3 linked regions of the Lepisosteus oculatus genome follow. The protein of the gene in region 3 binds, or shares a complex with, the protein of the main gene of each other region. Links are inferred from orthologs where the notes say so. Each region holds a gene or a part of one and is shown on either strand. Other genes may lie near its edges. The genes, in order: hjv, nog3 and bmp2a.

The links.
Region 1: the proteins of bmp2a (region 3) and hjv are in contact, whole or in part, in a crystal structure (PDB 4UI1), measured with the Homo sapiens proteins. The link is inferred for Lepisosteus oculatus from reciprocal best matches to the Homo sapiens genes BMP2 and HJV. Residues at the interface, in NP_001191.1 of Homo sapiens: Phe331, Pro332, Ala334, Asp335, Leu337, Asn341, Ile344, Val345, Leu348, Ser351, Val352; in NP_001366281.1 of Homo sapiens: Leu40, Asn43, Tyr46, Val47, Tyr86, Leu101, Ala102, Ser105, Ala106, His108, Gly109, Ile110, Asp112, Leu113.
Region 2: the proteins of bmp2a (region 3) and nog3 are in contact, whole or in part, in a crystal structure (PDB 7AG0), measured with the Homo sapiens proteins. The link is inferred for Lepisosteus oculatus from reciprocal best matches to the Homo sapiens genes BMP2 and NOG. Residues at the interface, in NP_001191.1 of Homo sapiens: Trp310, Asp312, Trp313, Val315, Ala316, Pro317, Pro318, Gly319, Tyr320, Ala368, Ile369, Ser370, Met371, Leu372, Tyr373, Lys379, Val380, Val381, Leu382, Lys383, Asn384, Tyr385, Gln386, Met388; in NP_005441.1 of Homo sapiens: Ile33, Arg34, Pro35, Ala36, Pro37, Ser38, Asp39, Asn40, Pro42, Leu43, Val44, Asp45, Leu46, Ile47, His49, His199, Arg204, Arg206, Pro219, Ile220, Gln221, Tyr222, Pro223.

What each region holds. Positions count from the first base shown.
Region 1 is NC_090722.1:4,341,380-4,351,646, forward strand, and holds the start of hjv (hemojuvelin), read left to right. Parts: upstream 1-5,378; 5' UTR 5,379-5,732; exon of another isoform or gene 5,733-5,756; intron 5,757-5,918; 5' UTR 5,919-5,983; intron 5,984-6,007; exon of another isoform or gene 6,008-6,223; intron 6,224-7,772; exon of another isoform or gene 7,773-8,821; 5' UTR 8,822-8,962; intron 8,963-9,450; 5' UTR 9,451-9,635; intron 9,636-9,894; 5' UTR 9,895-9,981; intron 9,982-10,267. Other genes in the region: uncharacterized protein, read left to right, coding at 2,093-2,248, 2,374-2,539, 3,450-3,565, 3,688-4,500. UniProt on the Homo sapiens protein: Acts as a bone morphogenetic protein (BMP) coreceptor. Through enhancement of BMP signaling regulates hepcidin (HAMP) expression and regulates iron homeostasis.
Region 2 is NC_090704.1:38,736,356-38,745,791, reverse strand, and holds nog3 (noggin-3), read right to left. Parts: upstream 3,350-9,436; 5' UTR 2,760-3,349; coding exon 2,085-2,759; 3' UTR 1,630-2,084; downstream 1-1,629. UniProt on the Homo sapiens protein: Inhibitor of bone morphogenetic proteins (BMP) signaling which is required for growth and patterning of the neural tube and somite. Essential for cartilage morphogenesis and joint formation.
Region 3 is NC_090697.1:40,820,136-40,831,145, reverse strand, and holds the start of bmp2a (bone morphogenetic protein 2), read right to left. Parts: upstream 4,412-11,010; 5' UTR 3,976-4,411; coding exon 3,926-3,975; exon of another isoform or gene 3,669-3,925; intron 2,962-3,668; coding exon 2,597-2,961; intron 1-2,596. Other genes in the region: gdf3 (protein DVR-1), read right to left, coding at 6,646-7,490, 7,757-8,039. UniProt on the Homo sapiens protein: Growth factor of the TGF-beta superfamily that plays essential roles in many developmental processes, including cardiogenesis, neurogenesis, and osteogenesis. Induces cartilage and bone formation.

The sequences.
Region 1 (10,267 bases), on a different chromosome or scaffold from region 3:
AATGCCCCACCACCAAAACAAAAAGGCAGTTTCTGTCGCACAGAAGTTTCCTGCTCTGACCGGGCTCGCTGGGGCTCAACAGGATCCGAGCGCTGGCTGGCTGTCCTCTCCTGGCGCGGTCCTCACACTTGTCGGGGGGCTGTGCTGTGTGCAGCTCCCAGGACACGGGGTCTCTCGCTTTTCCCACATCGCCGCACAATAGCCTCTCCGGGCTGAATAGCCCCAGCGCGGCCCGCGGCAGGCCACGCCTCCGGCCGCAGCCACAATGCACAAAGGCGCCTGTACTGTGCTCACTGAACCGTGCGCGATTGCGCGCTCTCTCTCTCTCTCTTAAAAGGGCGACGTTTCCCGGGACATCTCCCGCGAGAGTTTTGGAGCGCCCGGCGCTCCTGGCATCGGCTGTAACAAAACCTCACCCCCTCCCGCCGCCAGGCGTGTGAAACGAGCGCTGCCCCGCGCGTGACTTTCGGGAGGGACGCGCGCTCACCTGTCTGTCCAGTCGCTCGCCGGCCTCGCGGGTCCGTTCAGCGTCCTGCACGACCCCCCCAGCCCCAGCCAGAGCTCTACACCCCCCCCCCCCCAACACACACACACACCGCACACACACCACCTCCGCCTTTGAGACCCACGCCTGACACGCCAGACCAGGTACAGGCCAGGGGAACCCCACTCCATCGTCACCTGGGCGACACTTGACCACCGAGGGGTCTGGGTCTCGTTACTGGTCACTGAGATGAGTGGAAGACGGAAGGCAATCAAATTTGTCATTTGAATGAACAATTCGGGCGTTTTCACCTCGCTGTGCAGGAAACATTTTGACCCCCGGACCTCTATAATATTCTTCTTTTGAGTGAACCCCGGACACAGTTTGTGATCGCCCGGAAGAACCGTCAATTTATGTCCTTTCCTTATTTTTCTTTTCTGTCCAGCATGTCGCACTTGTTGCATCGCCGTTAACAGCGATTGTGACACCAAGAAAAAAATAAGACCCGTCGCACAACCAGTCCGAGACGAGCGCCACCCTGGATGATAGCTGCGGCTCCGGCGCCCCCTGTTGGCTGGTCGGGTGAATTGCATTCGTCTGAGGCTCAGTTCTAGACATGACCCCTTGGCGATCAGTCAGGTTTCCTGAAACATCGGCTCTAAATAATCCGGATTAGGATGAGAAAAGTCGTTTCACGGAGACTGCGTTGATGTATCGAGATGATAAACTTTAAAATCCGACTGCGGGGTAGTTCACAGGCGAGCAAAGGAGAGCGGTTGTGGAGAGCAAGAGTCGGCTACAGACGCCACTCACATGCGGCGATACACGACGATAGCGTATTCATTTCCAAATAGGATCGATCTCGAACTACACGTTGATTACCTGTCACATCATGCATGTGTATTATAAATCATGTAACCTGTTGTCTAAAAATCTTTTACACAATGAACTCCAACCATGGTGATTATTCTACAGAACACCTTTAGCATCTGACTCAACTGTATTTATACCGCATAAACATGTATATACCTAGATAGGTGCAAGACTGCTGTTCAGTTAAAACACTAAAAACTGCCTTTTTCTTGGGAACCACAATACTGATTGGATTTAATTTTAAATTATGATGTTACGGTTATCGGAAGTGATTATTGAAATATCTTATATCTCTAGAGACAATAATTAACACCTGGATAGTGTCAACATTTACAGTTCTCGGGACGCTTCAAAGCAAGATAGGAACTGAGGTTTACTGGGTTGTGGCTGGGTCTGGGACTCACTGATCTAAGGAATCTGGTTTCTCCTGGTTAATTAAGTTCAGAGTAAATGATAAAGGCGTCACACTACATGACTCGACACGACTACCAGTCGGAGAGCATATCAAATTTACCAGTTGCAGTTGCTGAATCTCGCGGCCTTTTCTGTCCTAGAGGGTGTCAACTTATACGACAAGGATTCGCAGGGGGTGACTAATGACACGATCCCCTCACGACTTCTCATCACGGCTCCAAATCTCGTGTTCTACCGCGAGTTCGCCTCGTTTGGGCAGCCAATCACCGTGGAGCGCACCGGAACAGGAAAAGGAGCACCGCAGGAGAGTAAACAAACAACATGGAGAGCAAGCGGATAGTTGCTGCCGTTGCTGTAGCCTGTGCTCTCGTTTGTGGCGAGAAAAAGAAGAAGAGGTTACGCCGAAGAACGCGGAGTAGGTCACATTTGTTTGGTTGTGGACAATATGGTTTGACAGTTCTTCAGCGACAATTGGAGGTGAGAAGGAATTATTTTATTACGCACGTTAGCTACGAGCATCCCATCGCTGACTAGTAGAGACTGTTTATGAACTGTTATTTATCTGTTTTCTAGTTTTCCGTTGTTTGCTTTTTCGTGAACAGCTGAATGACAGGACAGGATTCAGGGAGCTGCTTCGGATGACCGCAGAGGAATTTGATTTTCTGCTGGAGAGAGTCTCACCGCTCATATCCAAGCAGGACACCAAACTCCGGAAGGCTATCACAGCTAGGGAGCGCCTGTCCGTCACGCTGAGATTTTTGGCCACAGGTTAGTAGGCTAACCTCTGGGGAGCTTCAGTAGGGTCACCATATTTGAACATCGAAAAAAGAGGACACCCTGAGGAGCTTTCGTATTGCCTGATCTGGGAAGGGATCGGGGTGGAGAGGGTTTTCAAAATATTCCACGTTTTATGGCCATTGGTAAAGTAACTGTGATGATGTTGAACTGTGTGAAATGCTAAGCACCCTCTGCTGCAATAACAGTATCCTCTGTTTTGCTGCCAGATTTGACAAAATAATCTGTTAATTTGGTTGACGAACTCTCTCCTGGATTTGCCTGTCTGTGTTTGTCTGAGTCAACAGGAGCGTGCAGGTGAAGTCCACCTTTATCTGCCACGGAGACAAAAGTACAAGGCTTACACACGAAACACCCAGCTTCCCAGTCTTCTCTGCCACTTCGAAAACACGGAGATAAATTTTTTAGTTCTGCTGTGAATTTACACTTTCGCATTAGCATGGTGTTTGAGGGTAGGGAAAGAGAAACAAAATAGGGAGGCTTTTCGGGGGAACGCTTGTGCACTGCATAGACTGGGTAAAGACACTGGTATTGACGCCCGATTTCGCTCTCTCATGACATCATCATCCACGTACAGGACGAAAACTCAATGCTGACGTAGGTCGTGAAGCGAACTAGAGAGGTTAAGAAATTCTTTCTCTTTCTAACCTCCTCATCCTTAAAAATTGTGTTAATTATTCTTCATGGTGATAATAATGGGAGTCGAAATCCCGAACATTTTTGGATCTTTGAAAATTCCCCCCAGACGGAGATAGAAGGATCAAAATAGAGGACATGTCCGGGAAAATCCGGACGTTTGGTAGCCCTAGCTTCAGGGACTTTTTGTATTCAAGGCCCTTGTATTTCAAGAGTAGAAACATCTTGTTTGATGCCTTTTCTTCAGGAGAGAGCTTTACGTTGTTGGGGTTGAAATACCACATTGGGAGATCCACGGTATCCGACATCGTCACAACGACGTGTGAAGCGCTGCATAAAGTCCTGAAGGAGGACTATCTGAAGGTAATGCAGCACAAAGCCAAACTGACCATCCAGTTGTCAAAAACAGCATCACGTCCCTGCGTGTGTGAACGTTTCCTAGTCAACAGTGACAGGCTCTCGTGTATTTCTTTCCTTTTTTTCAGACACCAACATCAGAAGATCAGTGGGGAGCGATAGCCAAGGACTTTTATGAAAAGTGGCATTTTCCAAACTGCCTGGGTGCCGTGGATGGAAAACAGATATATATACAGCCACCGGCACACTCGGGCAGCACGTCTTACAATTACAAAGGCCGCTTCTCCGTTGTCCTGATGGGCATAGCAGACGCCAACTACAGTTTCACATACGTGAGTGTGGGCTGCCAGGGTCGGATCCCAGATGCAGGTATCTTTGCCCACTCGGACCTCCACAGAGCCATGGATGAAGGACGACTCAGTATACCACCAGCAGAGCCCATCCCAGACACAAACACTGTGCTGCCGTATGCGTTTCTGGGGGATGATGCCTTTCCACTCCGACCCGACCTAATGAAGCCATACTCCCATAGACAGCTGGACCACGACCAGAGGGTTTTCAATTATCGGCTCTCAAGGGCCCGGCGTGTGGTTGAAAACGCCTTTGGGATCTTAGCAAACCGGCTGCGTGTGTTCAGGACAACTATCTGCTTGGAACCGGATAAGGTGGCGAAGATCACCTTGGCCTCTGTCTGCCTACACAACTACCTCAGACAGTGCCGTTCTGAGGCGTACATGCCACCTGCCCTGGCAGACCAGGAGGACACAGAACATCAGGTGATCCCAGGAAACTGGAGGAGAGATGGAGCTGGGGCACTTCTGAATGTTCCTGCGGGAGCGTCGAGCAACCCTCCCCAGCAGGCCGAAGACCAGCGTGAGCAACTGAAGCACTACTTTGTCTCTCCCCAGGGGCAAGTGCCTTGGCAGGAGAGGTGCATTTAAAACTGCACTGCAAGTACAGTCAGTAAAAACAAAAAGACTTGCATCTCTTCAGCACCCTTGGTTGAAAATGGACATGCTTACTGTTTGGTGCAAAAGGTACATTTTCATGGCTGCAATTATTTTTTCTCTTCGACAATACTGAACATCATCCTTAAATGTCTTGCACCTCAACGTTGTGAACATCCTGAAAAATGTTAAACAGGCAGTGTTCTCCACAAATAAACATCTTCAAAAAAATAACTCTTCTTTATAAGTATAGAACAAATTTGCACAAATAAAACAGTTAAAAGTATAAAACACCTTTAAAACAAATACTGTAAACAAATTAGTAATGCGCTATGACGTGTAATATAATGGGCGCATTATCTCACAAGTACTCATCTGGCAAACTGCTGTATAGCATTTCTGTAAAGGTTAGAGGAGGGTGTGGGTTGATGTGTTAGATATATGTTATATTACATCACTTTTCTGCCACTGCGTCACAAATAATAAGGATTTAGGTCTGTATTCACAATATCCGTTAGTGGCTTCATTACTGAACGCGCTTCAAGTGGCTTCTGAAAGCGCTCTGCAGTAAGGATGAAGTACACAGTGAGAGGAGACAGCTGAATCACACGGCTACAATCAGGGTTTGGAATACAGTAGGAAAGCTCAGGGGCGGCAGACGCAGGACCAGTGCGATGAAAGCCCTTCTGGAGAAGAAGGTTTTGAGTCGGGATCTGAAGGCTCTCGGGCTCTCCGACAGCCCGACACGCTGGTTCCCGGCTCTTAAGCGCAGCTGTCTTGCAGACGGGCGCTGAAGCGAGCGCACAGCGGGGGCGCGCCGCCAAGCATGGCGGGAGCCCCTGGCCCCGCGCCGGGTGTGGGACCCGCAGCCGCCGCTCGCTGTCGCGGGCGCATCCGACCGGCCCGCTCCGTCGTGTGGTGCCCAGGCTCGGTTCCCCTTCTCTCTCAGCTCCGCACGTTCTGAGGGGCGAGGCCCACGTCCGCCCTTCCCGGCTCTCTCGCCGGGGGTCCGCTGACAGCTGTTGGCGCCCGCAGCAGGTGTCCTTGCGGGTGATTAATGGCCGCCTCAGCCCCCCCCCCCAGGAAGGAACTCCGTGAAAAAATCCCACTCATGCGGTAGTGGATTTCTGCTATCCCATGTGACCATCTGACACTCGCAGATCCCTCTCCGTGCGTGCAGCCTGCAGACAGACCCCTCGGCTCCCGCCGGCCGCCGCTCTTTCTCGGTTGGGTCTTCTTTTTCTCCATTCGTTGAGTGAATTTAGTCGTATTTGTTTAAGTGAATTTGATTGTGCGTGATAAAAATACTACTACTACTATTGCTAATACTACTACTAATAATAATAATATGCAAAGTGATTATTGAACGGTTTCCCAGACGCATACGAACGCCGATAATCTTCTCCTAATAGGTTCCAAAGTCCTGCACCTGCTGTCCCGACAGCCTGATGGGAGCCGCTTGGAAACCGGAGCGCTGGTGAGCCGAACGAGCCGTAGCGGTCGGAGACCGGTAGTTCCTTGTTTTGGCTGGCGGGTGGCATCCCTACCTCGCAGCGCCCTGGCTCTGGGTTGAATTCCAGTCCCGGGGTGCTGTCTGTGTGGAGTTTGCATGTTCTCCCCGTGATCTTGTGGGTTTCCTCTGCCTGCTCCGGGTTCCCCCCTTCATCCAGACACAATGCTGGTGGGCTCATTGGCTTCTGAGGGACCTGGCGCTGGGGTGAGTGTGTGTCTGTCTGCCCTGAGATGATCTGGCGCCCGGCGCAGGGTGGACCCTGCCTTGCGCCCCATGCTTGCCGGGATAGGCCCCGGCTCCCCCGAGACCCTGGACAGGATAAAGCGGGTTAAAAAAGAAATTCTTCGGCCATTACCGTAAGGCAGAATGCAATACCCATCGTATATTAGATGGTAAAGGACCCTGCGCAAACAACCGTGCGGATTTTGTATTTTTCCGGTTACAACGAATTTTATAACGCCAGCACCGCGGAGTGTTACATTTCGGTACTTTGCTACCCTGACAAAAGCGGGGGGGAAATACAGACGCGTGGACACGCTCCCACGACTACATTTCACACGTCTGGCTGCCTCACGCAGCTGTGAGCCGTGGCAGTGACAGGTAACCCAGTAGCGCTGCGGTGCCTGCTGTCTTTGGCCATCACACTGCCCGCGTCCGTGGGAAGCCGCGTTAGATCCACGGTGCGCGGTTTAGACAAGGCAGTTATTTCCTTTCGTACAGAGCATTTTCCGGTGGAGTAACCCACGGCACTGTATTTCCTCCACGGCACGTTACACCGCAATTCCACGGAGCCGAACCTCTATAGCGGAAGGGCCTTATCCGAGCTCATGGCGTTGTTTTATGGTAAATTATTTTCACATCAACGGCCAGACCGCACGGTGTTATTCACCCCGCGCGCTGTGCGTTCACTGCGTGGGCCCCGTGCGTTGGATTGCAACTGGACCAAGCGCAACAAATGTTTCCAGCCCATCTCTTTTTATCCTCGGTAAGTGGTGATGGCCCACACAGGGCTCAGGCCGTGTTAACACCTTCCAGTCAAAACTGGAAGAGGCGGCGCAGTTTCTGTCTTCTCGCGTTTCCTGCCGATGAGGAATAGTTGAAGGACACAGCCCTGCCCCACAGGAGCGTAGCAGGAGCCTGATGAGAATACGATTGTAGCCAATCAGCTCTCAGATGGAATGCTAGGCCGTGCCACACACCCGCCACTCTTTGTGTAAAGAACGCCTCTCGGGGATCCCAGGTGGCTCTACCATTCTCTTGTGGGAAATGACTACACAGCGACTGTGCAAACTATAAGGCATGTGTAACCCCCCCCGCACGGCGTTCTGGGAAGGGCTGTTTGTGCGAAGACTGCTGCAGCTGTGCGCTGGGGTCCTGGGGCTGGGCTGCAGGCTGCTCTCTGTGTGGCCGGCCTGCCTGCCTGCGCTCAGTTTAGCAGGTGCTATTTCAGACGGCCAGCAGCAGTGCCCCACGGTTTGCTGGGGAGTGAAGGGGGTATATTTAGAGAGTAATTCTTCACCCCACCCCTTCTCTACAGCACAGGGCTTGCAGCTCTTAAACTGGATTAAAGGTCAGAGGGAGAAAATGATCGGGGTCGAATTGCCTGGGCTGATTTCTTCTTCGACAGATCCTCTCCTGTCCCCCCAGAAACATTTGAATCCAGAACACCCCCCCCCCCCCCAGAAGCTGGTAATAGGCTGAGAAGTCAATTTATTTGGAGTTTTCTAAAGTAAGATGTACGCTGGTTAGTGTAGCTCTTTAAAGACAATATTTTCTTGCATCCCTTTTCCTGTTCTGTGCTGGTGACATCTCTGATTACTCCAAAAGCAAATTTTTTTTTTCACCCTCACCTGTGTGTGAAGAGATCGCGCCAGTTTTCAAGGTATCAGCCACCTTGGTGTCAGTGCTTCTGTTTGCTGCAGAGGTTTGGTCATGGGTCATATGTCACAGGTCAGAAGAGGTCAACCCTGGGTCAGAGGAACCACAGCCCCACTGGTCACCCATAAGCCAACAGCTGAAAAAGGGGAATTCTCTGAAGCAGTACATAAATCAGGCTTTTTATTAAAAAAAAATATCATTGTTCTAACCCATGTGCTGTACAAATTACAGAAGCAGAGGATAGAGATTGCAACAAAATGTGTCAAATTTACTACGTTTTTTTTATTTTCAGCATTGTTATTGTATAGTGTACAGTTTTAGTGAGCACATAAATAAACAGTCAGTTCAGAGAGTGATCGTGTGAACTCCCAGACGGAAAAGACACACGGGCAAGTTAAAGGTGCTGAATCTCTTCGGTCTTGAACAGAGGAGATTTCAGGACACCTTGACAGGAATGTTCGAGAGCCTCAAAAATGACTGATAAAGGTAGTCCAAATGGATCTATTTGGGATCAATAGTGAAACATGGTCTAGAGGAAACCAAGTGGAGGCGCCTTCAGGATTGAGGAACAGGATGCGTTTGTTTTTACACAGAGAGTGGTGGATGTTGGAAATGAACAGCCCCCAGCAATGTTATTTAAGCAAGGGCAGGGAGATCAGCACAAATCAGACAAGCAGGAAGGACAGGGGTCTTGCTTCCCTGGGCTCACTCATATTTGATTTAGCTTCGACTTTGTGCCTCTTTGACAAACAGAGAGAGAGAGAAAGTCCAAACTACAAAGCTTCCTGTCGGCCTCCATTTCAGGAGGAGAAAGGGTGACAGCAGTCTGCTTCAGCCCTGCCTTTAAAGCCATATTGACCTGAGCTCAGCTAAACGTCGAAACAAGACCACCAGGTGGACACGTGTCCTCTCCTGTCTCCCTAGCTGGACAAGGAGGCAGTGGAAATAACCGAGAGCCGAACTCTCTCGGCTCACGAGCTGGATTCTCCCATCATCCCACTCCTGGCGCACTCCTGTTGCCCGTCAAAACACCTGAAAGAACAGGACAGGAGCTGAGTTTGTCTGGTAAGTCTGGCCTGGAAAAAAAATAAAAGGATCTTAAGCATAAGTTTGGGTTACTTTTCGGAATGATTCCCATCCAGGGCATAAACACTGCTGATCTGCCACGTGTACAATGTTGCACTGGTTACTGTGATAAATGGAAATGAAGTCTGTAAGCTGGCTTGATGCCCTTAAAAATCTTAAACTAGAGGTGGATTGGTGACAGGTCAGAGTCAGAAAGAACACAACAGAGATCAAGTGTGAGAACAGAATAGTCGAAAAAGGAAACGTATCGGAACCATTTGCACAATAGACTGTAAAGAAAAAGAAAATTCAGAAACATGAACTAGAGGACAATGGAAACTACTTGGAAGTGCTGTTAAAACTGAGAGTAAAATGACCTTTTTTTTACACAAAGGGTGGTGGGAGTGTGGAGCAAGCTATCCAACCAAGTCAAAAACTCTGTGCCGCCAGTATATTAAGACAATGTCCTGGTTCTGTATTGTTTGCAGGCTCAGCTGCTGTGCTTCTCTGCCCAGGAGGGGCACTGTTCCCTGAGCGCAGAGATGGAGTGACAGGCCAGGCTGCTGCTGAGGGGACCTTCACCCATTCTCCAGCTGTTTGCCCTGGCACACGGCTGCTCCAGCACTAGGTAGGACGCCAGCGGAGGCGTCCTACCCCCTCAGCACAAATCGAGGTACAGCTCTCCCTGGCCTCTGTCCGTGAAACCAAACCCGTTTCCCTGCTTCCTTTTTTGTCTTGTTCTGGGTGAGTTAAGCTCAGTTAAAGCTCGTCGATGTCTTCGTTGAACCAGCTGATCGATTGGTCTCCCTAATGATCTCCGTTATGTGTGTCATTTTCAAGAGAGTGAGGCAGAGAGCAGGACTGTGTGTCCGCTTGGTGTAAAACTGTTGCTCCCCTAAGAGCTCTCTGAACGGCTCTTATTCTTTCTGGAGGAATGGGGCACAGAGGCGGGGGGAATGACACTCTCAAACACAACCATGATGTTCTCAGGGCTGCCTGGGACCAGTCATTCAATTCAAGTATGTCACTGAAACAATAAAGTGAGAGGAAGGCTGAACCCAGTGGAGATTTCATGCCAGTTACTAACCTTATCCTGGTATTTAGGAACTGAAATGGTTTTAACACTACCAGCAGACAGTTGAATTCAAGGGCTTTGACAGCCAAACTAACAAGTTTGAGCTGTGATTAAGTGCAGGCAATGCAGTAGTTATACAGGACAGGACTGGGAAACATTGGTACACGTGGAAAGCCAGTAGAATCTATGGATAACTGGATTTAAAGTGGAAGAGTGCTAGTCCGATCAGG
Region 2 (9,436 bases), on a different chromosome or scaffold from region 3:
GTAAAGTATTTGTGCAAGGGGGGAAGACGCAGTGGGAAGCCGGGAATAAACAAGTTGAAGTATTGGCTATCTTCGTGATGAAAAGACTGGGGGGGAGATCTTCGAATACTTACTTCGAAGGAACGCTGGATGTAGGCTAATGAATGAGGGGCATTAAAGATTATTTGGGGACTTGTCAAAAAATTTTCTAAACAGTTCAGTAATTTAGAAACGTAAAAAATCTCAATATCCTCTTTCTTACTGAGACAAGTGAAGTTTGTTTTCCTTGACTGGAGACTGAAGGTAGCAGACATCGGAATATTTTTACATGTGATCATCCATCCAGCGTGTCTTTCAGGCGCCACACAGATTAAATGAAAGAATCGTAAGATGAAGGTCTTTAACATTTAATCCTTTTACAAAGACCCTTCAGATTGTCTGGGGGTTAGGGTTCTTTTCTTTAAGAGAAATAATGCCGCTGTTCCTATTTTCCATAAAGCGAATGAATGTTACAATGTCTGAAATAAAAAAGGATCAGATTTGCAATAATATGAAGGGCTGTAGAAGACAGGCTACACCAAATAACTTTTAAACAAAATAAACCATAACTCGATTTTTGCTGAAAGGTAGGAAAGTATTAACACAAAGTCTTGAATTATGCCTTTCCTTTCTATTCTAATGTTTAACGCCTTGTTGAGCGTAGCATAGCAAATGCCAAATATAGCTATAAGGATACCTAATTCATTCTGAGTGCAGAAAACGTAGTAATAATAGGAAGATAATAATCGTGACAGTGTTATTGATAAAACTTTAAATTAGGACTGAAAGGTAAATTCTGCGAATAAGAAGATTTATTCTTAAACATAGACGAAGGCGGCTTTTTAAAGTAAAACACCACTGGTATAACCTTTTATTTTCCTTATCACATGATAAGTGAAACGCCGATAAAACACTAGCATCTTAATTACCTTTATTACACTAACAAAACGAGCACTTATATTGCAATTAAATAAATAAATGCATTAAGCCAGACTTTAAAATGACAACGTTTTTAACCCTCCACACTCGACTTGCTGAAAAAGCCAGCTTTGTGTTTTACGTCTAGGGCAAACAAACTGAAGATGAATAGTAAGTTATGTGTATTAAATAAGCACTATAACTTAAGGAACTCCCGGAATGGGACGCAATGGACAAAACAGTGATGCAAGTTGTTAGTATTTTAATATTTTTCGCACTCTTATACGGTGACCAATCTGAATATATTTATGCTATTTTGTTCAATTCATTGCTCATGGAATATGGTTAAATAGAGCGTTGCTCTATAACTGCATTGCTACTTAGTCTGAAATGTTCAGAGCTAATAGGACAGAATCGTATCGCTTCAAGTAGTTTGTGGGGGAAAGTCCGGCGTGTGATGGGATCAAGTAGGATAAAGCTAGGAAGGTGTCTGCGATAAAACGTCTTTGAGAGGCAGTGCAAGGGGTCAAGTTTCAGCAATGTCTGTCCACAATAGTAGGTGTGAAAGACACGTGTCTCCTTGTAAATGAAATGTCAAGGATAGAAAATGAGCGGACATCCTTTCCAAAGCATCATATAAAGCACTGAATAAAGGGAAATAAAACTCAAGAAGACAGCCAACTCTTACCAAAGTCGTTTTAGTGGTTTACTTTTAATTTCTTTACTGGCATTTTACTACATGAATATAAAGAATAAATAGCAGGTACTCTTAATTTACATGATTAATCATTCAAATTTACCTCTATATTTACAGCTCTCGCAGCTGCAGAATTACACTGTAATTTATATATTGCCGTCTGAGGTCCATAAAACCACTTTTTCCGAAGAATGGAAAATAGCTTTAAAGTCCTTCAATAAACGTCTTTTTTGCTTCGCAATGCGAAGTGCTCTTCAATATAAATATAAAGATATATACATTACAACCAGGATATTTTTCCCAAATACAGTAGACGCTGGTTATGCATAATACTGACCTTTTTACAGGTATGTCATTAAATGGCACCACATATACATAAAATATACATTCCTACACTCGGCAGTGCATATAAAAATAACCATGTAGCTATTATTTATATTAAAAGTTCATTTCAGTTCGAGCAGGAGCATTTGCATTCTGAGATAATAGGGTACTGAATTGGTATCCAAGCGCATTTCTGCCCTGTTTTTCGCTGCAGGCACCTCCATCTCAAGATCGTAAAATGGGCCGATTTGGCAGGTTTGCAAACCATCCCTTCTGGAACAGAACAAGACCTCTTACTGTAGCAGCTACCCACTTTCACATAGCGCGGCCAGAATCTGTTCCCGAGGTCGTTCCACGTATAAACAACTGGGCAGAAAGCGTAGGACCACAGCCACAGTTGCAGCCTTCTTCTAAGTTTTTTACTCGGTTTGTGCTTCTTGCCATGAAGAAAGTCAAAAAATTCCATGGATTTGATCTCTTTAGGCATTGCCCCGGTAGGTTTTTGCCTAAGTTCCAAATCAGCCAGTTCATCGTTCCCAGTGTATTTGTCCTCTGGGGGAGATACAGACATATAGTGAGAGTCAAAGTTGCTGCCCAGTATACTTCTCAGTTCGGTCTCGTTAAGGTCCCTTTCCTTAGGGTCAAATACAGGGTCCGGGTGTTCTATAAGCTCCACAATTGGTAAATTGTCACTGGGAATGGGACGGAGGTGATAGTAATGTTGGCACATTCCTTCTTCTATTGTAAGACCGAGGGACAAAACCAGTACATACATAGCTATAAAATACTGTGAATGATGCATCTTTCACAAACGTGAAGTAAAAAGTTACAAAATATGATATAATAATCCTTAAAAAGCTGGAGCAGGCATCCAGTTAGTTCGTAGATTAGGAGTCAGAAAAGAGCCAGATCCTTTGTAATTCTTCGCTGCAAAAGGCAAAAGCTGGTACCACAAAGTTATCTCTTGTCCCACCGCTCCTCTCTTTTAATGTTCTTAAACTTCAGGTAGTTGCTTGCACCATAGCAACCAGTGACTCTAGTAAGAGTAATTGAAACTAGTAAGTCCAAGGATACAAACCTCCTGTCGTATGACAACAGAGTCCATGGCAGGGGTGACTTAATGATCCCTTTTAAATTTTCAGAAAAGGTAGAAAAAAGTGTACACATTGACTTTTCTACATATAATTCGTTTGTGGCAGCATCAAAAACCCTCTGTAGACTCTGACTCTTGCTTAGTTGTTTTTACTTTCACGCGTCGTACCAGCTTCAGTCCTTCAGCACTCAATTTTAAGTCCAGAGGTCTCAGTATTAGCATGTTTTCTCTTTTTCTTTTGCTGGAAGCCAAACTGAAAATTACCTGGCTCGTCCGATTTATCCACACGGGCTGTGATGTAATCCATAAACCCATTCTGGATGTAGGTTTGTTGCCAGAGATCCCCGACACCTCCTTCTCTCTGGGGGCGGGGGTGGGGTGGGGATAAGGGGTGGTCGGTCTTGGGTGTCGGAGCTCCGAATTAGATCAGTTGGATTTTGCACGCCCTCTACTGGGAGATACGCATTCTTGTAGTCTCATTGTAAAAGAAACCCCCCGCTACATCACCACCCCACATTTCTGGCTTGTGGTAAGCAGAACAAAAAGGAGTCGATTAGTTTTATTGATATTTTTATTATTTAGTTTGAAAGGGAACATTTCTTTAACAAAAACAGGGCATGAAGTGTTCATCATGAAAACTATAACTTATATATAGTTTTATTTGGGTATTTTAACTGCGGCAAAACTTGTTTGGAATGATATAGAAATATTATTTTCGCAGCATTTTTATTCTTAATGTTCTTAATTGAGTTTTGTACATAAAGAATCCCCAAACGTCTCAGAAGACATTTCTGAATAAGCATGTAGCAGTAGCCAAGGACTTAATGATCGGTCAGGCAGGTCACATTTGTTTTACAACATCTTTATTTAAATGTCACACCACTCAACTCAATCGCTGTCAATAAATCACATGCTACCAAAATTGAGAACGTGTCGACTTTTTGTATTGAATGCACCAGTGTGCGTTTTCGTGTACCGATAAACTGTGGAACTGGGGTTTTACGAGGCGCCTGTCCCAGAGCTTAGTGGAGCCAGAATCCTGGGTGTTCGGCTCCTGCTATATTTACGCGTCCCTGGCCTCTATATATCACTGAAAGGTGCAAATCATCGCCCCGCTTCTCTAACTATTGTCTCTAAAGGCATCTCATGCAGTGGTGAGCGCATTTTCTTTCAGCAGAGTACTATAAAAAGTAACTCTTGTTTCGTATAGACAGAATGAGAAGTTAAAGGCAAATGGGGAGGTTGTTTGTGTACCTACATTTTATTTTGCGGACGTTATAGTCAAGGTTAATATCCAGTAAGTGGTGGGTATAGGAGCGATAACTCCATGTTAATAAAGATCTTTCCAATATATGCGAAGTTCTCTACTCATCGTGGGACACAGATTAAGAGCACAAGAGGGAGTGAAACACCAGGATCACAGTAGTCGGAATTTCAGTTTTGTGGCAGGACTTATGGTCATGTCTAATGCATAAACAGTGCTAGTGGGAGGAAAACATCAACAACAACAAAACAATGCCAGGAATTTTTGTAACTCTGCCCATTAAGACAGATGTCAATTAAGATAAATCTCAAAACTGTCGTCAAGGAGTAAAGATAAGGGGACGGTGATTAACTGAAGCATATAACAGTAATGAAAAAGCTTCAAAAGTCGTCTAGTGATTAATTTGTTCCAGCTACTGAACGGGCTCAATACATAATCCAATTTCCCTCCCATGTTATATAAAAAGACCCATTATTAACAGCCACAGAGCTCAGTAATGCTTTATTGGTAATTATCTAATGACACTTGATGGATAGCTGGTTTATAGAAAACGACAAATATTTTTTTCTGAACCACTTAATTTTCCCTGCTGAAAAAAATGTTAACCTCCATTTTCAAGCAGATGGCAAGAACACATTAATCCGCGTTTTGTTCTGAGCAAACGACTGTGGTTTACTATAATATTAATTTATCTAAGTTGCGCAAAGGCACCTTAAATAGTGCTTAATAATTACAACGAGTAATAAGTGTTTTTAAGCCATGCAAACATCATTCTGTTATCGGTGAAAAATGTGATGTACATCGCCTAAAATGAAAACTGGTAACATTGGAAATAGTCCGATTGAAGAAAGGGGAAAAAAGAAACTATTTTAATAAGGTACTTCTTCACAGTGTTACTTCTCTGTGCAACAATGAGACGTGAGTGTAGTAAAACAAGCTGCTTGATCTCTTTGCTACTCTTCTCTTTCAAGACGAAGCCTCAAACACTTCCAGCTGTTTGTATTTACCCAATATCTAAAGTTACATCTTAAGAGTGTTTGCCCCTCTTAATAAAAACGTCCCGGGTGCTTCTGTCGTATACAACTCAGTTTTAATGAAAATCTAATTTTAAAAGCCAAGTAACAGGCTCCATTGTGGTGATGAACACTGATCATGGAAATTTATAGGCGAACCTTTGTCAAAATGTTCAACGTTTTGCAATATTTTCACAAAAATGAAAAGAGCACTCAAAGACGAAAAGAGTTGAAAGAGCACTCAAAGACGTTCCATCTGAGTGCAGAGTCGCGTATGCTATAAACAGATTTTCCAGACTGCGAGAAACTAAGTTAAATAACATGACTAATGCACTTGACATTTTAAAGATTCATTGCGCATGTTACTGAAAGTCACGGTATTCACTTAATTTTAAAGTGTTGCGCCCCCTGAACCGTTCTGTAGACTGGAGTGAAGTTACACCTTGTTACTTGCCAATGACACCCTGAATAGTATGATACACGGTATTTACGTACCTTCACGAATCCGCACTAGATGGCAAGTTATTAAAACTGCCGTAACTGAGACACTGAGTAAACTTTGGAGCAAAAGTACTTCAATTATGTAATTTTACGCAACTAGCCTTCCCAGATGAACTCGTAACATGTCGAGGTTATACATAGACGTAATTAATACAGCCAGTTCTAAAATAATATACAACCTTAAACTAAGTCTATTTTAATTAGACTCTCAGAAAAAAATGGAGGTACACCCCACCCCCTTTTCTTTCATTTACACACATACAAACGCTCTCTCTCCCTCTCCCTCCCTCGTCTTCTCTCTCACACACATTCCCTAGTTTTAACTGGCGCCAGGTTCTCAGTACTGCCCTGTGTTTGTGTCAGAAAGACTAGGACAATATTTCAGTGTGGAGCCAATCCACAGGGAACCTCTCAATAAAACCTGACCAAAATAACTCCCTAATGAACAAGAGCACCCTTGCTTGATCCTGCAGTAAGTAAGCAGGCATGGAAAATCATTATTATTATTATTTATTTGCTTAGCAGACGACCTTAAAGTCTTCACAATCCACAAACCTAACAAACTGTCTAATGGTATGACTCGTCCTTTGAAAAAATGAAAGGAATAACTTACCTGCTGCTGTATCTGCAATAAACTATCCATTTAGATAAATGCAACCCTGTTCTCTTTAAATTAGCTATTTTACTCATACACATCAACCAGTGGTCCATTTATCTAGTTAGAACAGCATGCCTAGTTTACATTCAACCCGCAGTGCCAAGTCTGGAAAATTCACAGCCATATTTTAAAACTGACAAATTAAAGATTATAAACCATAACAGAAAAACATACACGTGTTCAGAAATGAAAGACAAATTACATACAGTATTACTCTCGGATAGCGCTTAGTGCTCTTATGCAGGGATACACCTTATCGTATTTACGAACAAGAAACGTTCTCCAATATTCCATCTAGTGAACAAGAGGTAACATAGGTGACAAGATACAAAGTGTATATTTTGTTAAATTGCCAACACTCAACACAAAGATACACTGAAAATAAACTAAATTGCAATACACATCTTGGTCCACATACAGTACTTCAGTCGACTACAATGAAACTGCAGATTTATTAGGTCTCTAAAGTTGTAGCGCCATTTGATCTACATTGTGATTACGATGTAATTATCATTTGCTTAAACGACTTGATTGCTGAACAACTCTTAATTTATTACAACAGCAACAAAAATAGTTAAATTTACTTTGTTCAGAAAAGGTAATACTTTGTTCTCTACAAATACTCTGGACAATTTGAAATACGAGATTCTCTCTATTCAAAGACACCGTGAGTTTACATACAGTACACGGATAGGCTGAATTGGTACTATGTTTTCTTTTGATTTGCATTGTGAAATTAGGAACGGAGAATGCTGTGACGTACACAATTAGCCCCCCAAAAATGACCATTAATATCTTTGGATTAGATGATGATTTACAATAACCACAGAGAATTAACATCTCAGATTGTTCAAATCAAAAGCACCACAGTGCATAGTAACCACTAAAATCTGGATTTACCAAGTGTCACTTTTCACCAATTCATCCCTCAGTAAACCTGTCAAGGCTGCGTCCTGACTCACCTTCGGTATCCTTTTCAAAAACAGAACGGAACATTGCCAGGAGCACTTCGGCATATTTATAATTAATTAATACGTTACAATAGACTTTGCCAGTAATTACAGTTTCATTTTGATCAAGCACATGAGTCATACCAAACAGACACGACAGCTTTTAAACCTGGAACACTGTGAAATGTTCGAGTCTCACAAGTTTCTTAACAGGTTTTGAAAACAAGTCAGAAACATAACAAGGAACATGTCTCATACATATTCTGAAAAGGTTTAATATAAAGTATATTCATTTCAACTTCTACGATAAAATAAATAGTTTATTTATTAACTTATATTATTAATGAAATAACTAACATTTTTTCTTTCCGTTGTACAAATAAACTGTCGTCATAGCCGCGTTTAACGTTCTTGTGGAAGAGGGACAGTGAACTTCATTTCAGTTGTTTCAAACAAAGTCCAGAGCAGGCCTTCGGTATATATCGTTAAAAAAAAACGTACATAAAATGCTGTTCAAGTTATGCATAACGCGTTAATTAGTTAATTTACATATATATTTTGTTAGTGCCCTCCAAAATAATGTATTTGTATCTGTATATGAATTGTATATAAAAATCTGGACCATAAGAATTGATGAGAATGTGTAGAGCTGACGTTGTAATCTGTCTGGGAGAACTAAAATAATTACATGTTACATAAGAAGTTAAATATATATTTTTTTAATTTTCGGCTAAAGGCAGCGGGCGTAACCGAAGCACAGTCGGTGCTTACCGTTCTGTTTGAACTGCACATACTCGCGATCCTCACAGTATTCGCACCGAGATGAAATGAGTTTCTTAAATGGAGTTTTCTTCTTACAGGTGAGACACACAGGTGCGCCACATCGTCAGAAACTGCACCTTATACGTAGCCAGACGTGATTAGTATTTAGCTCGTTGGTGAGTGGACGCTGAACAGATAAAACAACATTAAAATGTAAAAATGTGATTAATGTTCGTTCCGCACTTTATGCACTTAGGCAATTTATTATATTTATGAGACACTCAACTAAAAAAATCTAGCAAGGATCTTACTTCATAACATCACTAGTTTTACACTTGACATCAAAAGTTGTTCTTACCCATCTGAACATGCACATGTACATGTACTGTATATACTTGATAAACTAATCTGTGACATACAGTACTCTTCTACTGTAATTAGTATAAGCCTACTTGCCATTGATATCATAGTACTCGAAGCAAATATCAAATATGTTGAAGTAGTTCAGTTGGGGAGCTGCGTTAGTATGCGTAGGCTGCAAAGGAACACGTAATCGGTTTATTCCATGCTGAAAAGAGAAGAAAAAAAATGTTTCGGCTGTGGCGCCTCTTTTGGGTCAAGGTCCTCCAGGTGCTCTGGTTTCCTCCCACAGTCCAAAGACGTAATGGTAGGTTCCTGGGAAAACTGGCCCTGGTGTGAGCGTGTGAGCATCGGTGTTTATGTCTGTCTGCCCTGTGATGGACTGTGTCCCATCCAGGGTATACCTCATTTTCCATCATTACTTGCCTGTCGGAAAAGCAAGAAAGCAGTTAAAAATGGATGGAAGTTAGGGAAGAGCATATTTTTATTTAAAATGTTATATGAATAAATACATGTTCCTTTGCACATGATACCACACATAGGTTGTAAATCAGAGAGAAAAATACATGATAGAAAGGTTAAATATAAAAGGTTTGTAGGCCTAATTAAATTTGGACATAATGTGGAATACAAGGCTTTCATGACACCACTTTCACATGAAAAAGGCAAAGTGGGTTTTGTGATTCAAAATATACAAATTGGTTACACAGGAGGCTACAGTGACAGAGGTATCACTTATGGGTTTTGTTGAGTGACCTCAATTCGGTTCTTGAAAAAAAGGGGCTAAAAACAACCGATTTTAAATAGAGCAAAATGTCAAAGCAAATCCTTTACTTCTATACTTTTCTATACTATTCTATACTTTTTAATATTTATTA
Region 3 (11,010 bases):
TAAAGACTCGTTCTCTAAAACAATCCAGAAACATGAAACATGGTGTAACCTACTAAGAGTTCATGTCAGTTTTAAAAGGCATAAAACCCCTACTCAAAACATACATAGAGGTTGACAGGTCCTAACTGAAAAGAGGTTTTATGAAGTTTGCTATCTGCAATGATAGCAAAGCAAAGATAATTCCAAATACTGAAAACAACAGCCATTTAAGGACTAACTACAATCATTTTCTTACAATTTCTAAATACCCTCATGTAGGGCACTCAGCGGCACCTCAGTGGTGACTTGGCACCTAAACATTTACTAAACTGTGATTATCTTTATGGCTAATTCTGCCCAGCAAACTTTGTATAAGCAGTCTTATTTCTCATTGATAACATATTTTTAATATAGAACTTACTCTGCTGTCACATATATTTTAGAAATGAAAATTTGTTGGCCTTATATGTTTAGAGCTTTATGATGGTGTGATAAATACTTTATCAATTTAATGCACAAAGTCATATTCAGATTTCTTGTCCATTACTTTATTGTACATAAATAAGGCACAGCAGAGGAGGAACATAGCTGAAATACAGATTTAAAACCTCTTACGGTTAAGAGTTAGTCCATACCAGAGTCACAGTGCCCCATTGAGCCAGAGCTTATCCTAGTTTCTGTAGCATTAAGTGGAATAACTAAGTGGAACAATCATCAATGCTGGTTCCTATTTATACAGATGGGTAGACTAGAGCAACTGAGGTAAAATGCCATCCTCAATGTACAACAGCAGTGTCAATGTGGAAGGACTTGAACCTAAAACCTGCCAATTAACTGTTTGGGATAGATTATACATTTTAATGTTTAAAACTGATGCTTTCCATTTGAATTGATCAGTGAATTCTCTTTTATAGTTTCTACATCAGTTGGTGACAAAATGTCTCAAAAAAGGAAAATTGGGGATGACTTAGTCATCCTTTTTTGTGTCCGTTAATAGTGCATATTTCACTTTGGCCCAAATTCCTTGATAACTCATACCTCTGCTAAATACGTTTTGTGATTCAATAACCCAAGGCCTTACTGTTATCATCTTGCTACTTTTTTCAGACCATAGGTAAGTGTGAGAGTCAAATACACTGGAATGGCAAGGTGCTTCATTAACTTCTATTCATTAACTTATTCTAGAGCAAAACTGTAGTTGTGTGTCTTTAAAAAAGTGGCAAATTGCCACAACAGGTTTGTTGTTCCCTGCCAAGTACATGTCCTTCTAAGACCATTAACACTGCTCTTGGCTGTAGAGAGCACTGCCATGACTAACATCTGGTATTTAAATATTTATGATAAATTACATGCAGAAATGAAGATATTTCAAAAGAGGTGGCTGTGTATCACCAATGACTGAATAAAAGAAGCACCTGCCACACAAAGGTATGGTCTAGAAAAGAACTAACAAAAACAAACATTATGTATTTATGTACACATTTAAAATAAATAATTGGTTCTGTGGTCTCAATCCATTGTGTTCCGTTGGCTTCTGTTAAAAGTTTTGTCACATTTATAAAGAAAAATCTGAAATTGTCAAACAAATGCAGCATTAATGTACTGAAATCAAATCAAAGGAAAACTAAGCTGTGTACGCACAATGAGTGAACAACACTCCGGGTACACTGTTGCCTGACCTGAACATTTGATACTCAACAAACCGTTCGTGTAGGAGAAAATTGTTTTCAGAACCTGTACAGAAACAACATTAATAATTCAAGTACCTGTTAGAAGCAAGGCTGAGAACCACCCATCGGCTGGTACCAGTCTTATGCAATATGTGAAGAGGTCAGACAGTCAATGTTAAATGTTAAAATATTGGTGCAAGTAATCTATTTCCTTTGACATTGCTTACTTAAAGTGTGCAAAGTAGCATTGAGATGCCCATTCATTAGTAACCATGATTAAAAAGAATGCATCTGTTAAAGGTTTATGTCATTTTACTATGGAACTAAATAGTTTCCTATAAAACATTATATATCTTTTAGATCAACTTTTCTTTAGAAACGTGCTTTATCAGATAACCTCTTGAATCTAAAAATGTAAAACCTTTAAAATGTCCTTCCACATTTTCTTCTATGCTAAATTACCGATTTTAAATTACTAGAATACATGAAAGGCTAGATACATACAATGAGTATGTATTATCAATCTTTTTACACTAAGACAAATCAAGGGTTGATATTTGTATCGAGATATCTAACTCCATCGTTACTTTTAGCACTCGCTGAAACCAACCGTACATTGCAAACTGTCCATGAATATTTACAAATTTGGATATCACAAGTTACATACCAGTTTTCGGTCATTTACAATGTTCAATTTAAGTAAGCAGAGGCTACAAAAGAACATTTCCAGTGAGCGAAAGTAATGTCATACCTGTTGAAGACGAAGCTTGGCATTAAACAGTTTTAAATCGACACATACAGAAATTTCATATAACCCGTTCTGTTTAAAGTGCTTTCGAAATCACCCAAAGTAAATGAAATGTGTTTAAGATAATGTGACATCCATTACCCTAGGTACCTCCTGTTTAAGACAAAAAAAGAACTCTTCTTCGGGGAGAAACTCTTACCTTCATGGTGAAAACTCCTAATTGTATTCGCTCTGCTGGCAGACCTTTCCGAATACTGGCCCAGCACTGATCTGGAGCGGTTGGGGTCCTGATCTCCATTCCCTGAATGCATGTGATAGAGGTCCACCATGTACTGCGGGACCACCGCAAGCTTGCTTGGAGTTGGTCTGCGCTTCAGTCCAAACATATTAAGGAGGCGAAGCTCGAATTCGTTAAGAACGTCCTCCGATTGCTGCGTGCTTTGCCGAGACGATTCGCTGAACTTCCTTCGGCCAACCTCCGGAATAAGTCCGACCGAACCTCCGAGCAACACCTGACAGAGCAGCAGCACCATGAGAGCACGGACCCCGGCGACCATGATCAATCTGTGCCGGAGAGAAAAAAGCGGTGTGTCAGTACCTGAGTGTTGTTATCACATGTACGGTATTGATAGTTTAAGTAAAAAATGTTTACCACAAGATATGGCCATGCGAACAGTAAAATGTTTTCTTTCCAGAGGAAGAATTTAAAGCAAGCATGTTAAAAGACATTATACTTTGATGTGAGGAACAAAAACAAATTTTGGAAATGATATTCCCGCTGGCCACGATAAATAAAATGGGAGACTGATAAGAACATAATAAAGGGGCATAGGTTAAACACGCAATAAGGGAGGGGGTATATAAAAGAACACAGTCGATTTAACTAAAAAGATAAAACGGTTTTAAAAAAATCAAAGGAGATGAATGAGAAGGAGGAAAAGAAGGCAGACAAGAAGGCGCAACTGCGCAAAGATAAGACTCAAAAAATGAAAAGACAGGAATCGTCTTTATAAGCTTAAAAAAATGCAAGAATCATAAAAGAATATAGCGATCAAAAAGATAAATAGCTATGGCGAGTGAAGGGAAAGAACAATACTGAAAAGGAGTGTTACACGTGTGTAGTTGTTGAAGCTGTTTACGTGAAGGTGTTGTGTCTGGAATAGGATTAGATCATAGAGTTACTGAGAGACAGCCACACAGGTGTTAAATCTAACGTGCTTCCACTGGCCACCACAAATCAAAGGCGAAAAACAAAAAGCAAAAACAACTACCTTTAAGAAAGTGGTGATCGACTAAGAAGCACTCTCTGACACGTCCATTGAAACAGTTTCCACATGGAAAAAAACCCAGAAATATGCGTATATATCCCGAATGCACTCCTTTTTAAAACAGAAGCCAATGCCTTCTGGCTGGATCTTTCGTGGTCATAATCAGCGTCCTCTTTTGCCTGCCCTTTTCAACCTTCCTTATAGGTGTTTTCTTTACAAGTGCAGCTCTCAGGATAAAGTCCAGGTAAAATTAAACTCACGATTGATTAGGAAGTACACTGTTGATGGTGGTATCTTTACTTCTCCCCATTACGGATCCGATTCCCTGTGGACCAACCAAAGGTGTTTTTTAAGTCTGCAGTTACCTATAAGGAAGTGCTCTGTCCGATCGCTGGTTTTCCTGCTTTGTAGTCCGATATTTTCCACATTACTTAGTGTTATTCCACACAGCTATTCTGCAGAAAACAGAAAGCCTCCACAGTACAGCCCGCCTCTTCTTACACATATTCTCAGCAGCTGTGAAGTCGGCAGGCGAGAAAGAATCGAGTCAGATTACTGATACGAAAATATCACTTGAGATTAACCAGAAAAAACGTAAATACAAATAGGCAAAACCTAATTCCTTAAGGTGTCATCTTTGATAATCATTAAAACAACAGTAAAATTAAAGTTACGGGAGTTTTACGGTAGGGTATACTGCCGCTCATTACAAACTACAAAGATAACTTTCGGAGCGTCTCCCCGATTTAGCGTGCAATGGTTCAGTACAATTGATAGAAGCTTTTTTTTATGCGTCCTTTTGTTGCTCAGTGATGTCACTACCACAAGCCTGTCAATCATGCACCAAAGGCACCTCCTGTACTTGTTGGAGTAAATTCTAGTCCTGAAGCTCTACATAAGGTTAAAGAAGTTCTGTATCTGCGAACGGATTTTTAATCTGCTGAATTTTGTCAGTTTAGGAAGTTTTTAAGGCTTGTTATCAAGCAAGACTTTGAAACTGACAAAGACTATGGATATCCCTTCTAGATCCAAATAAACTATGCAACTTCTAAGTTTTTATTAAAAAGTTCAAAATCCTAATCACTTGCGAGGTTACACATGGATAATTACCACTTGAGTAAAGCAACTTTACTTTAAATTATAAATACAATATAAAAAATGAAAATGGCAATATCAATTCAAATCAGAGAAAATTACACATTGTAATTATATTGCATAAACTGTACTAGATTAAATGTTTCCTAGAATATTCTTAAAGCTATTTTTAATATCACAAAAAAGCCTATGTATGTTAACTGTAAAGCCAATGTTTAGTGTATAAATATATAAATTCAGTTGTTCTTTTCCAGACCACAACATTTCTTTACCGAGAGAAAAGGTCCTTCGAAACTAAGCACAAATTCGATCAAAACATGGCACAGCAAAACTGCAAAATTATCTTTTATTAAGTAACAAAAGAAAAACATCTGGGTTATAAGAAATCATAACATTAATTTACAGTGGACGAAATAGACTCTTTCCTCGTGGGTGATACGACTGAACATTTACGAAACGGTGTTAAGACTGAGAAATGTTTTTTTTTTTCTCTGTTGTGTGGTTGTCCCCTGTAAAGAACCATTCGTTATGTTGCGGATTTGTTTTTCGTTTCTGTAAAGTGTTAAAAACTCAACAAAGTTAACATATATAGACGTTTGCAACGCTGTTTACAGGGAGTTCAAAATTGTAAGAATCTGAAAGGAAATGTCAAAATTAGATACAGTGCGCCAACTTGTGGAGAGATTTAAAAAGTGTGATCACATGTGTATTAAACAAAGATTCATTGTATATTTTTCTCAGATAAAAAGTAAAATAATTTGAGTCTCGCATTACACAAATCGGATTATCCTCGGAACTGCTACTGCTTCGCCCCCCGATCCTCCCCCCCACCATGGACGTGTAGAATACCGGTAGTTAGCAAAAGCTTGTTAAAACTGAACAAGGAAAGCACATGCATGCATACCTTTACATATTTAAATTACTGCAGTCACAGAAACATCAAGAGGAATAACAACGATGTATTAGAGCTTTAAAGTTTATTGACTTTGAATTCAAATTCTTTAAAACTGACCAAATAACGAATGTATTAGCAAACTGTAATAAAATACAGTAAACATACCTCAAGAGCACCCATACTTATTTAAGTAAAGGGTTTTAAGAATGGATAAGAGCAATACAGACAGGTAATACACACTTAACGAAAACGCGCAGAATAAAGACAGGCTGTGAAGTTAATTCAGCTGCTTTACCTACGTTGAGGAAACTGTGAACCAGTGGACCAGATTCGGCACATTTAATCAAGATCTTCTCTTAGAGAAATGGGAAGATCTCCTCTCCTTTCCTTTCAGTCACAAATGAATAAAAAGTAGCATTGGGGCAAAACATAGGCCTACCTAATGGCAGAACTAATTATTTTCAGGGAGATACAATTTGACTGTTAAGATGAAAACCATCTGACTGCTTAGTTCGCATTTAAAGGATTCAAATTTTGAAACCTATTTTTTTTAATTAGGTTTTGTGACCTAGCCAGTCACCATCAACTACTAAAAACAACTTCTGACGCCGGTATTACTTCACTTTTTATGTCACTTTATTCAGCACCTCTTTTAAATGGAAGCAGAGAAAAAAAAAATATAAATGTAGTTATGTTTTGGTCTGTAATCATATCTACTTTACAATTCAGAAAAACGATTTACAGAGGCTGTTAAGATAAGATTAAATTGTCAATTGCTAATTTAAAACTTTTATCAGGTAAAATAAGATATTCAGACCCAATAGTTTGATTTCGGGAGTTCTTGATTATTACAATATTAATAAAAATAATCAATCTTGATCGATCCCGTTTTATCCGTGATAAACGCTAACCATGCGATATTCTGTATTTAGAAGTAGGTTAACTTGTTAAAAATTGTTAATCTAAATTCAAAACGTTACATTGTATGAATTACCTGCATCCACACTCATCCACTATCATATCTTCGTAATGCCTTAATACAACATTGTCGTTGTTATCATAGTACAGCATTGAAATAGGAGACAATTTAATAGGAACACAGCAAGGTTGAGGGGTACCATTTGGGTCGAAGGAATGGAGTAGAGTTTGTAAAATTGCGTGGTTAGTACCATTAAGACTTTCACTTAAGGGAAATGGGCATTCTCCATGACAATAATTAGCCATGTACCCCTGAGGAGCAATTATCCAATCTTGCCAACCTACATCCTTGAAATCAATGTACAGTCGCCTTGGTTTACAAATGTTGCTAGGAGTTACAGGCAGATAATAGGCACTTCTTTTTATTCTAGATCTGCACTGATGGGGGTTCAAAGAAACAACGATCAGTGACGTGTAAAACTGAGGTAGAGTTCCAATAAAATTATGCCCAATGTCATTTCCTGAATTCGGCAATTTAAAAGGGTCCATGCCGTTACTTGGATCACTGGGATGAATAGCAAGAACAAGCCCATAGTTTTTATCGGGTTTTCTCCAGGCCTCTGCGACAGCCGTCAAGTCCAACGTGATGGATCCAGGAACAAGTTGAAAAGTCTGTGACAGCAGCAGCTTCCGATTGGATTTGCGCGACATTCCTTTCAATGCTGTCTTCTGAACTTTGTATAGTGAGATAATGAATATGGGTGGATTTATCGAGAATCGACGTAAATTCTGGTTGAATTTTATTTCCAGCTGAGCCAACGTGAGCTTCTCAACCTCTTCAAGCACAGAAACATTGAAGTAAATGTGCTTTTCTACACACGTTGAACACTGGCGGCTTGATCCAGAAATTACTCTACCTACAAAAAAACAACAACAACGTTTATCAGCGTAAATTGCAGCAAAACATACAATTATCAAAGTCATGTTAAAATGATTAATGAAATTCCTCAAAAGACTCTTACATAGATAGGGTAATAAATATGAACATATCAAAATTAAACAACTATTTAACGTTTTTTGAAACAATAACGTCGATCTTTTAAATAAGGAATGACGAAAATAGTAAACATAATACAGTGCAGGTTATACGACATTCACATTGCAACAAGAAGTGAGAAAATACCTTGGTCCTGAATAAATCGCACGATATTTCCACGGACATCGAATTCTGATATCCTGCAGGAATCATTTTCTGCTTCAAGGGATGGCTTGGAGCTCGTCTTTGTCTTGAACATTTTCCATAATAAGGAAGGTACTGCTAAATTGTCTGAAGGCTTTGGGCGGCTAGAAAGACCCAATGAATTCAGAAACCACTTTTCTTGTTTTCTCAAATCTTCAGACTTGCCTCCGTAGCAAAAACCAAGAAAGAACGTAAGAACTATAGCTTTTAAAATTACAACGTACATACTGTATTTCTTAAGGTTTCTTTAAACCGAATGAGGTTATGAAAAAAAAACAGAGTTAACTGTTTCACCCATGTGTTCCCGATAAAAACTAAGTCAAACCAACGGCGTTTGCAGGAGATTGATTAAGAGGTGTTAATTGCAGGATAAAATCTTGTGTTCTATTGGCTATATTCAATTGTCAATCAGTAGTCCTACAATGTACAACGGGAGAACGCACACCTCGGGGTTTACAAAAAGCTGTGAACATGCAAGTGGAATCTAATTAACCCCCCCTTTGTGCTAGTGGAGCACTTTTGTTCTCAACTGAAACTCCAGCGGGAGTTTTTTTCAGTAACAAGATAATGTAAAATACTGTGGGAATGGCCGTGTTTTTGTAAGGTTGTAGGCCTAATACCCGAACAAACCCGCTACTAGCCACATCAAGTTCCGGTAAGATGTAGCTCCGGATAAAGCAATAGGGTGTGTAAAATAGCGCTTTGGACCACGGAATCTAGTTCATGTGACAATGGGTCATATTTAAATAATTACAGGCTAAAAATGGTTGGTTTGAAATTTCCCTGCTTTGAAAAGTCGAGGTCTTAACTCTCTTCCTCCTGCTATTGCTGAATGTGTCGACACAGTAAAAACCATATATTCTATAATTCTTAATTATGCATAAAACTCATGTTTCCATATTCACGTTCATCAAATACTAGCCTTTTATTTTTAAAAGTCAAACCCCAACGTAGGAGGGATGTACTATTTGGGTACGTTGGGTACAAAGAGTTTTAGATTCGCACTGTTGATTGCAATTTGTATGCTTATCCTTCATCTTGTAAGCGTAGTAATGCTAATTGTTAATCTTCATGTTTATGCAACAGATGTATTAACATTTACATGTTTCATAGCTTTAGGAATACCAATTATACGGAGTTTGTCGTCGTAGGTCATCTTTAAATTGTAGACTTAATTTAATAAACACTGCATATTAATAGGGTTTTTATTCTGCTTAGGTTGATAAATGAAATGGTCGGGGAAATTTGTCGTTTAAGTTACAGGTGTGTCTGGGGAAGGTGTTAACGTTTTAAGTGAGTAGTTCCTTATTTATAAATAGGAGGTCTATCATATGCTTATTAAATATCCTCTATTTTTTAAACTTGTATGCTTCAAGATGTCAACAGTTGACAACTTAAAAAGCCTCTTTTTAAGAACTTTATGTAAATTTATTTCTCCTCCTGGTATTTTAAATGTGTTTAATTTATCCATTTGTGTCCCTGCTTACCTAACTTGGATTTATCTGTGGGACAAATTTGTTCTGAGCCACCAATTCTTTATTAATTTCAAATCATTCCTGTCCCAATGCACTTTTTATGCTGCTTTATATTTGATGCTACATAATGTTGTTTATAAAACCTTTGACAACAGTAGTAAGGCTTATAGATCTATTGCTCCACTCACAGAGCTGTTTTTAGTGAGTTACATTAATCAGATTTGCTGCACTTTTATATTGATGCTGACATATATTTTAAAAATTAATGTAGACCAGCAGCTACAAAATGCCACCTCTCCATGTGCAATGCTTGTGTTTCTGTTGAGGGTGAAATAACCAGCACATCCATTTTTAATGTGATTTTCTTATTTTTCTTATACCATTATTCAAATATTATTCCTTCAAAACTAATTGATATTAGATGTTGGTCTAATTGAGTCAAGTCTGCATCTAATATACAGTACATATGACACAAACAGGACAAATGTCAAAATCTGAAAGTTCTCAGCATGCCTTGCAAAGCTTTTAAGTGCAGGAAAAAAAAAGATGCTTGATTTTTTTTCCATGCTGCTTGAACTATCAGCATAGCAGCAGATAAGATCAGTTATGTGTGCTGGGGTAGAATTTTACATTAACGGGGTCATATAATCAATGCTTGTGTTGACAATAATAAATTTGAGGAGCACGTTTTCACAAAATCAAACTGTTGCACGAATGTAATACACAGATGTAAAGAAAATAAGGATGGTAAGTTAAACTACTTTTAAAGATGCAGTGAAAAGAAAGGTCTTTATGCAAGTTTTAAAATTTTCAGCATTCACCAGGCCTCAAAAGAAACGTAGCTATGCATTTCACAGACATGGTGCTGCACACAAGAAGGCACTATTAAGCATTATCCAGAGGCTTGCTTATTCTAGTAAAACACTTGGACAACACTTTGGAAGTAAGTCCTTTAAGATAGGTTTGAGGTAGATTAAAGCCTTATATGTGAAAAGATGAACATTGCTATAAAATTGTGTGCGTAAAAAAGTCATGTAGGCTTTGTAATTGGTTTCAATATATTTACACATTTCTGAGTTTCAGGAGTATCATTGTTCAGGGGTGTTTCCTGAAATGTAACCTCTGCAGGACGAAAAAACACTCATTTTTGGGAGTGTCTGCTATTCTGTCGTTATCCTTGTGAATTGATCAATTTGTAAGAGCCGTTACTCAGAAGCACTGGCCTACAAGCTGAGGTGTGGTTATGTTCTTTCTGTAGAATTTCCTGGAGACGTTATCTTTGAAGTAGGTGATTTGACACTGGTGATTGATTGGGCGGGGGGGAGTTAAAAGTGGGCAATAATGGTTACTGTCTTTACATACACCGATTATCACATTAATTATCATAGTTCAGTGCTAATAGCCCGTAACCTTCCTTAGTTTTCATTCACCACTGCTTACAAAATGCTTAATTATTTTGTCTGCCTTAATTATCATTTTGTCATACTATTGGGGAGAGAACATTACTTCAATGCTTTCTGCAAGGAATTGCACATTTACACCTACTGCACAACTGGGAATATACTGTACAAGAGTGCTGAATTATTTTATTTTGGGTCTAGAATTTGATGGAAATTACCCACTTCAGATGGGATGTTATTCATACCTACAGTACCACCCAGAATAATTCAAGATTAATTTAATATAACAATCTGCTTGATTGTTCCTAAATCTTTTTAGGGT